Saccharomyces cerevisiae S288C: one gene and its partner. The gene in region 1 interacts genetically with each later gene. Each region holds a gene or a part of one and is shown on either strand. Other genes may lie near its edges.

Evidence for each region.
Region 2: mutations in YPK3 (region 1) and ELP4 together harm fitness more than expected from each alone (negative genetic interaction), as found in Saccharomyces cerevisiae (2 studies listed by BioGRID).

What each region holds. Positions count from the first base shown.
Region 1 is NC_001134.8:294,099-298,496, forward strand, and holds YPK3 (putative protein kinase YPK3), read right to left. Parts: upstream 1,905-4,398; coding exon 327-1,904; downstream 1-326. Other genes in the region: YBR027C (uncharacterized protein), read right to left, coding at 1-258; CDS1 (phosphatidate cytidylyltransferase), read right to left, coding at 2,271-3,644; RKM3 (protein-lysine N-methyltransferase), read left to right, coding at 4,194-4,398. UniProt on the Saccharomyces cerevisiae protein: AGC kinase which plays a role in TOR complex 1 (TORC1) signaling pathway which mediates temporal control of cell growth in response to nutrients. Required for phosphorylation of ribosomal protein S6 (RPS6A/RPS6B) at 'Ser-232' and 'Ser-233'.
Region 2 is NC_001148.4:357,824-361,819, reverse strand, and holds ELP4 (Elongator subunit ELP4), read right to left. Parts: upstream 1,612-3,996; coding exon 241-1,611; downstream 1-240. Other genes in the region: FMP30 (N-acetylphosphatidylethanolamine-hydrolyzing phospholipase D), read left to right, coding at 2,414-3,820. UniProt on the Saccharomyces cerevisiae protein: Component of the elongator complex, a multiprotein complex which is required for multiple tRNA modifications, including mcm5U (5-methoxycarbonylmethyl uridine), mcm5s2U (5-methoxycarbonylmethyl-2-thiouridine), and ncm5U (5-carbamoylmethyl uridine).

The DNA.
Region 1 (4,398 bases):
CCATGGAAACAACCCCTGGGTACACCACTCGTGCGTCCCTTGGAGGAGAACCACTCTTTTAAGGTAAAAAAAAAAGCACCGGCGGGGTCCAATAATGATAATAATACCATAAATAAGGAAGATGGTATCACCGATTGGTCCAGAAGTATTATCCATACAGTTGTTTTTAATATTATTACATACATTATATATTAAAAATGTGTTTCGTAACCCTAAAGCAAAACAAAGTATATACAGTGACACAGATCCTTTAAACATCAAAAAAACAAAAAAAAGTAAGTCAGTGCAGATCCGAGCCTTCTCTCTTAATCTATCTAACTTTTAATTCAAAAGTACTTCTCCAAATAGCTACCACTTGCTTTATAACTAAATCCCTTGAACATATCCGGGGACTTGCTCACCGAATTGATATTAATCGGCTTGCTATCCGTATAGGTTTCCTCATATGACATAGAAGTAAATTCTGTGTCAAAATTTTCCGCTAGTTCCAAATCCGTAATAACTGGAACAATTGGGCCTAGAGTGGTTTTTTGCAATTGTCCAGATTCTAATAACTTCCAGTCTATTTTTCTAAAGATAAAATGTTCAGTGAAAAGACTAGTTCTTGCAGCCCCTGATTTCTTCTTCTTAGACTTAGTAGGCTTATTATTAGCCCCGGTTTTGGCCCAGTATTTGTCAACATTCCACCTTTTGGCAGTTTCCTTCTTCAACAGCGCGTTTAATATATCTTTCATTCCCTCGCTCAGATAAAATGGAATTTTGGGGCCTTGCTTGTTTTGTTGAATCTTATTAATGATCACCTTATGATTGCTACCAGTATATGGAGGCTTACCTACTAACATGTCATACAACAGACATCCCAAAGAATACCAATCACAATTCTGACTGTAAGCTTTACCTAATAATATTTCAGGCGCACAGTATTCAGGCGTACCGATAATCGAGTATAGGGCATTGACGTTCTCTGGATCCTCCTCATCAACCGCGGAATCATTAGCACTTTTTTTACTCAGACCAAAATCTGTCAATACTAAATGTCCACGTTGATTCAATAAACAGTTTTCAGGTTTTAAATCTCTATAGACAACACCTTTCGTATGCAAAAATCTCAAGGCACAGCTGATTTCTGCCGCGTAAAACGAAACTGTCGTCTCATCTAGGGTCCCGTGTTCCTTCAAGTGGTAAAATAGTTCACCGCCAGGGATATATTGTAGCAGTAAATATAACTTTGAGTTATCGTGAAAAGAATAAAATAACTTGACAATGTTTGGATGTTCTATTTCAGATAGAATAGACCGTTCGGCAAATGTTCTCTCAAGCCTCTTTGATAATCCATCGTCATTATCGTTGTTATTACCATCATTTTTATCTTCGTCTTCTCTCTTGGAATCTGTGGCTGTTTGAGAAATTAAAATTTCTGCTTTCCGTAATTGCTTCATAGCATACAGCTTGGATGTATTGACGTCCTTAACAAGAAGAACTTTACCGTAGGCACCTTGGCCTAGGACTCTCACGGGCTTAAAATCGTGCAGGTTCCTTGATAATTCATTTTCTCCAATATTAGAGGAAATAATGTCCTGAGGTGTTATGGATAGTCTATTCGTATTAGTTCGCATTGCGTCCGAACCTGTAATAGAAAATCTTCTCGTATTTGGTGGAGTGAGAATAGGGAATTTGGAATAAGCTGAGGACCTTCTTCTCATCCTATGTGCAGGACTCATGCCATTTAGCGGAATCGCATTTGAATGAACCGAGAGGTGATTTATACTCTCCTCATATGTGATGGAGCTGCCTTGTTCATGATTGATATCATTGTATATTGCCGAGGAATAATCTACTTTAATGTCATTCTTTTTATCATCTAGTGACACACGATGAAGTTCTTCATCTAGTGAGAAAATCATCCTAATTACTGCCAACAGTATGCTCAGCTAGATTGGTTGATGAAAAATCTTATCATAGGGCACCTTCCAGGTAAAAGATCTACTTACTATTAGTCAGTACGTCCTTTTTTCATTTGTTTATAATTTTTTTTTTTTTTTTTTTTTTCTCCTCTCAATATTTTAGAAGTAACATGACAGAGCAACACGTTTATTTTCCTACATATAGTCATAAGTATAAAAACGAGCGAGAAATTTTGTTAAAGAATTGATATCATATTTTATAATTTACATAAACTAAATAGGGAAAGAGTAGTATAGCGTGCATAAGTTTGAAAAAAAAAAACTATTCATACACTCATATATACTTTTATATGGTCTTTTTTATATTCAAGAGTGATTGGTCAATGATTTCTTGGTCACATTAAAGATGTCAGCCAACTTTTCAAAATTCTTCGCTGATATTATACCTTTTTTAGATAGGAATCTAATCAAGATATCAATCAATTCTATAATCTGCTTGTCGTTCAGGTTCATTAAAATAGTGGATAAAACTGTATCTACTGTTATTCTGTGTTCGCTGATGAATGTTTCATAGTACAAATTGGCAAAAGAACCCATTATGAATTGGCAATCAACCCTGTCTGTGATACCACCATGGCCTGGGATGGAGTGGCCAAAGTCTTTAACTTTAAAAGTTCTCTTTAGACCAGATGCGAAAAAGCCTCCAAATGGCGCAAATAATGATGCAAAGGTAGCTAAGTTTAAAGCATGGAAATAAATTGGTTTTACTGTAATTGAATTGATTTGAACTTTATCGAAAAAGATGGGTGGAAGTCTGTAAACTTGTGGAAGGAAAACTGGGTTTAGTTCACATGTCAAATTAGAGAAAAAATTGGTATGGAGATCTTCAACAGGGCACGTCAAGTAAGTATAAGGGCTCAGAATCCTTGTTAATATAATACTAGCTAGAGCAGTGAAAAACCAGGCACCAAGGAAACCTTCTAAAGTTTTCTTGGGCGAGATTTCTATTAGTTTAGTCTTACCGAATGTAATGCCGCACAGGTAGGCGAAGATATCATTAACAATTACCAACCCGCATGGTAATAAGAACCAGAATAGCCCATTGAGCACGTTTTTGATGATCAAATGAGCCTGAAATACTACCAGAAGAAGAACCATATGAGTAACGCACAATGATCCGAACTGGAATTTCAAAAATCCCTTTCTTAAACTACAAACGAACAGAACAAATCCCATAAGATAGAGACAATAGCAGATAAACTTATGATTTGTTACGATAAAGTTCAATACAGGATACTCGTAAAAAGTAGCTTGGAAAAACTTGAAGAGTGATTTCCCATCTAAGTAATAGATAGTGGTGAAGAGAAGGTACCAGTTCAACGTCTTTGTCAATGGCAAATTCTTTTCGCGACCAGATGCACTTGTTACGGCAATACACTCTTTAAAAGTAGCAATTTGGCAGCCCAAAATCAGCACTATACACCATGCATGACCCGATGCTAAGGTGATGAAGAAACCACTGATCATAACAAACGTCCAAACTGTTCTAATGAAAAAGTTGTATTTCCTGCTTTCCTTTGTAGCAGCAGTGCTTTCCTTGGTCACCGGCGTGACGGATTCGCTGGCGTCCTTGTGGAGTTCTTCTTGCAATTTATCAATCGCCTTTGAGGTGGCGTCAGTAACCGACTCCACAATCTCCTTGCTCGTACCATGTGGTTTCATCTCAGGGTTGTCAGACATTTTAGGTATATGGAAGTGGAACAGTTAAGTATGACAGGTTCGCTGTTTGGGAAGATACTTGGCAAGAAGTGCGTCTTCACAATCTGGCTTACACTAAATAACAATATTGATGAATGCTCCCCCATGCTGTTTACAGTTCTCGATTGTTACACTTTTCACATGTCATCCCATCTGAAAAATTTTCAAGAAGGGTATCCGTTGATAATGACTGTCAAATACATAGCGATATAGTACCAATATACAGTGCCTGAAAACGCCTGGAATAAGCCAAAGCGATCAAGGTGGAGCTCCTGCAGATTGGTTTAGAAAGTAGTGTATTGATAGTTATTTACATGGGCGTTTGTTTATGATTCTTTGTGCCTAATATATCCACGTTCTCCGTTGAATTCTGAGATGTACTGCATCAAAATAGCGAAAAACGAGCAATAAATATCAGAAAATCAAATGAAGTATACTCGATGAAGGCAGCTGAGATGAGGTGGCAGATACAATAAGAAAGATTTGTTGCCATATATAATAGCAATTAAAAAATAAATTTGAAAGAGTGAGATGTCCGTAACTTTTAAGGACGATGTTCATCGGATTCTGAAGTTTGTTGCTAATTGCAATGGCAGGTTTGAAGATTCCAAATGTGATATAAGAGAATCGCCTCTCGGTGGATTGGGTGTCTTTGCAAAGACTGATATTGCAGAAGGTGAGTCAATATTGACGTTGAACAAATCCTCGATTTTTTCTGCATCTAACAGCTCCATTG
Region 2 (3,996 bases), on another chromosome or scaffold:
TGGTCAAATTCTTTCTGCAGCTCACGCTCCTTTTTTGTTAATATTCATTTCACTTTTTCATATTTTGACATCTAGGCGATACCTTTTTCTACCTTCCAGCTGCCACCGCTTAGAGTCAGGAAAAAGACGATGGATATATATATAATAGTCGTATTTAAGATATAACAGATAAAAAAATAATACATTCACCACGCTTGTTAAAAAGCATGCCGTATATTTCCCATAAATTGAACCATATTCTTAATAGTCTAAAGATATCTTGGTCTTCTTTGCAGGTATATTATGTGAGATTTCATCCGAGTGCGAGTGTGAATGTGACTGTTCCGAGGCAGCTGAACCTTCAGCATCATCCACGGGTATGCCCCATTGTTCTATTTCAAACTTTTTTCTGCCATTCTTAAATGCCCATTCAGACTTTAAAACTCTCATCTCTCCACGGTCCGTGAAAACTGGTAATTTCAATATGTGGACTAGCCCATGTTGAATCTTCCCCGGTTGCGATTTATAAACACGTTCTAAGAACTCAGTCATCTCCTGGTTAAAGGGTTCTAGATTGATAACAGAATCGAACATGTTTCTCAGCAATACCAGTAATGGGGGAGTGATAATGTCTATGGATATGGAAGCAAACAGTACAACCCGCTCATAGTATTTCTTGACAAGACTCCTCACACCGTGCATTAAACCTATTATTTCAGATGATTCAAACATTTTGGGCGGATACATTGCCGGATGTAGAAGGGAAGGAATAACAATTCTTATCAGTTTCTTGTCATTCCTTTTAATAGTCTGTTCTATTTGGCTCAAAATAGTGGAGACAGGTTGAGTTGGGGCGATAAATGTCAGTTCAGATGCTATGGGAGCGGGCATCAGACGCGTTGTAATATCAAACTGATGATTGTAGTCCTTGTACTCAGAATTTTGTTGGATGTCATCTCGATCCGGAGAACCCAATCTCTTTTCATCTGCCAGTTTATATTTCCATGCAATTTTCAGGTCTTTGTACCTGGAAGGCGTCGATCTCTGGGTCTCGTTCAAATTTTGAACAGTAACTTTTGATTCTTCTTCAGAGATTAGGTTTTTCTTCATTTGTTTACGTGATCCCTTGTAGATACCAGGTAGCTCCTTTGCAAACATTTGGTTCAATGACAAGACAATGACATGAGTGTCGCCGTTTCTAGTTTTATCAGCACTGCTATCTGAAATTCTATTATGAACGATACCCTGTGCGGCAAACAGTTTACCGAGAATAGAGTGAAATTCTGTCGTGCTCTGCTCCTCTACTAGTACAGAGTTTCCCAGCGGCAGCCCCATATGGCCTAGTATACTGTCCAGGTCAGCACTCCCAGTTGATGTCGTCGGCTGAGAGGTTGCAGGAGAAGGTCTAACGCCCACATGGGAGCTATCCAGCCCCATTTTTGTCTTGGATTCGTCCGCAATATTCAACTTCTTTAATCTCGCTGTAGTGTCAGACAAGGGCACATTTCCAGGGGCTCTTCTGTTGCCTGTCCTCAATGGCGTTGAGGAAGTTCGTGGAGGACCTCTTAACAGTGGACCTCTTAGCCCGCTACCTCTATCGTTCAGTATTTCACCTCTTTTACGAAATGACATGGTACATGCGATATTTGGGAGCCGAATTTGTTATACAATGTTGTTCTCTGCACCTCATCTCTAAACTATCCAGCCTCATCGACATCTTCATATGTCGTTTTTGTTATTTTAACAGTTTAGAGTTCATTCCATGCGCTTTACCCGGTCTGGCGTCAAAAGCCATCAATAACATAGCTACTATTGCGTCTGAGAGAAGTCGACCATAGGGAAGAACTTGCCATCTGGTTTTGAGTTAGTTAGAATTATCACTATTGAAGATAGCCCAGCAAAATGCTTGTGCAAGAAAGCACATCGTCTAGTGGCCTTTTTTGAAGAAAGAATTGGAACTACTTTAGAAATACATTTACCACAGTGAGTATATGACACTGATATTCTCCTTGATTATCGCCCAAAATACATTGTAGGCTTCAAAAAGATTAAAATATCAATTAAAAGAGAGAGAATAAATAGGTTAAGGCCCAAATTACAATAGCGGCCTCCTATTTGTCTTTTCCATTCGATGCGATATTTATCAGTATTATATGAGAACAAATGGTGGTATTATAAAAAAAAAATATTATAATGAGATATATGTCTGATTTTAATAATAAACTTTTTAGCTAATGATTCCTTCTGCGTTCATTTTCTGAATATTATCAACAGCTGCTAGTTTTTTTTTTCCTTTACTGTCGTTAAGCAGTTCCCGAAGACTCACTACTGATGCTTAACAAAAAAAAAAAAACGTAGTTCGAGAATAGCGAGAATATGGTGTGAACAGTAGCACTCCAATTACTGAAGGATTGCATGCCTGCTTGTGTTGCAAATGAATTTTGTTACCTGCCATGTTCAGATGAGGCTTCTTCTCCAAAGGAGACTAGTGCGTTTACGAGAATCAGAGCTGTTTAGACCCCAGACATCATTGTCAACTTTCAAAAGACATGCTTCGCAAAAGACACGCCCTATACAAAAATGCTCGAGAAAATACGCACGTATACTTCTGTTGTCTGTTTTGGTACCTTACACAGGATATGCGTTTTATGTATCATTGGCTACAGTGAAGCAAATTGATTTAAGAAACGAAATGTGTCAAAGATTAGAGGAGAATAATAACGAGGTCACTTATAAGGGATCCTTGCTAAAATATAGCCCTTTGGAAGTTTTAGGCAGATTTGAGAACCCGTTCGAAGAATACAGGATTCAGACCGTTTTTGAATTCTTTGCAAATAGAGTGTTCGAATTATTTGAAAGAAATAGGGGAGGTATTCCACGTGATGTACACCAAATGAATAAGTTAATGCCTGTACACAAGCCAACATGGGGGCCTAACTTAGTGGACGTCGACCCCGCAGAGGAAACGGCATTGCCGCTAGAATGCAAAGTGTTAGACGAATTGCACATACCGACTGCAGTAGAAGAAAATGAAGGATCAAAGTGCCCAGTCTATAACACATGGCTGGGCCAGTCCTGTAACTACACGGTTTATAATGGATTGAGGATACTTACTGATCCTCTGTTCAGTGACTTTCTTATCCACAAGACCCTGGGTCCTAAAAGAATTACTCAAATGCCATCTCAAATTACAGAGGTGCCCAAACCAGATATCATCCTTGTATCCCATAATCACCCCGATCACCTGGATTTAGAAAGCTTGGAATACTGGAGTGGCAAAGACTCTCCCTTATGGATAGTACCTAAAGGAATGAAATCTTATATGACAAGTAACGGCTGTGATAATGTCCTAGAATTATCTTGGTGGGAAACTTTGCAAGTAAAGAAAAACAATGAGATATACCACATATCGGCTACTCCTGCCATGCATTGGTCTGGGAGATCGCTCTTAGATACGAACAAGTCTCTATGGTGCTCCTTTTTATTAACACACCATGGTAATCCCATACTTTTTCATGCTGGTGACACTGGATATGTGAAAGATTTATTCGTTAGAATTAAAGAACGCTTTGGCAAAGGTTGTAAATTAGCGCTGCTTCCATGTGGTCAGTATTGCCCTGAGTGGCACCAAAAACCACGACATATTAATCCTCAAGAGGTTCTCAAGATTATGAAAGATCTAGAAGCTCGAAATGTATTAGGCGTTCATTGGGGGACCTTTGTATTAAGCGGAGAATATTTCTTAGAGCCAAAGGAAAAATTAGAAATGTTGGCCGAGTGGGGTGGGTTTAAAGACCGCTGCTACTGTCCAGAATTGGGCAAGACAGAATGCTTCGACTAACTTAGGCGCTAATATTTAAGCTGCAGCGTCCCTGTAAATAGCGATAAATTACAGTAAACGTAGACTTTGGGAGATTGTACTCACTGAACATTTTATGATTTAATGATTTTGTAATTTAAAAACATTCGTATGATATCCAATAAGATGTTATAAAGAAATTACAATTAATGTTGATA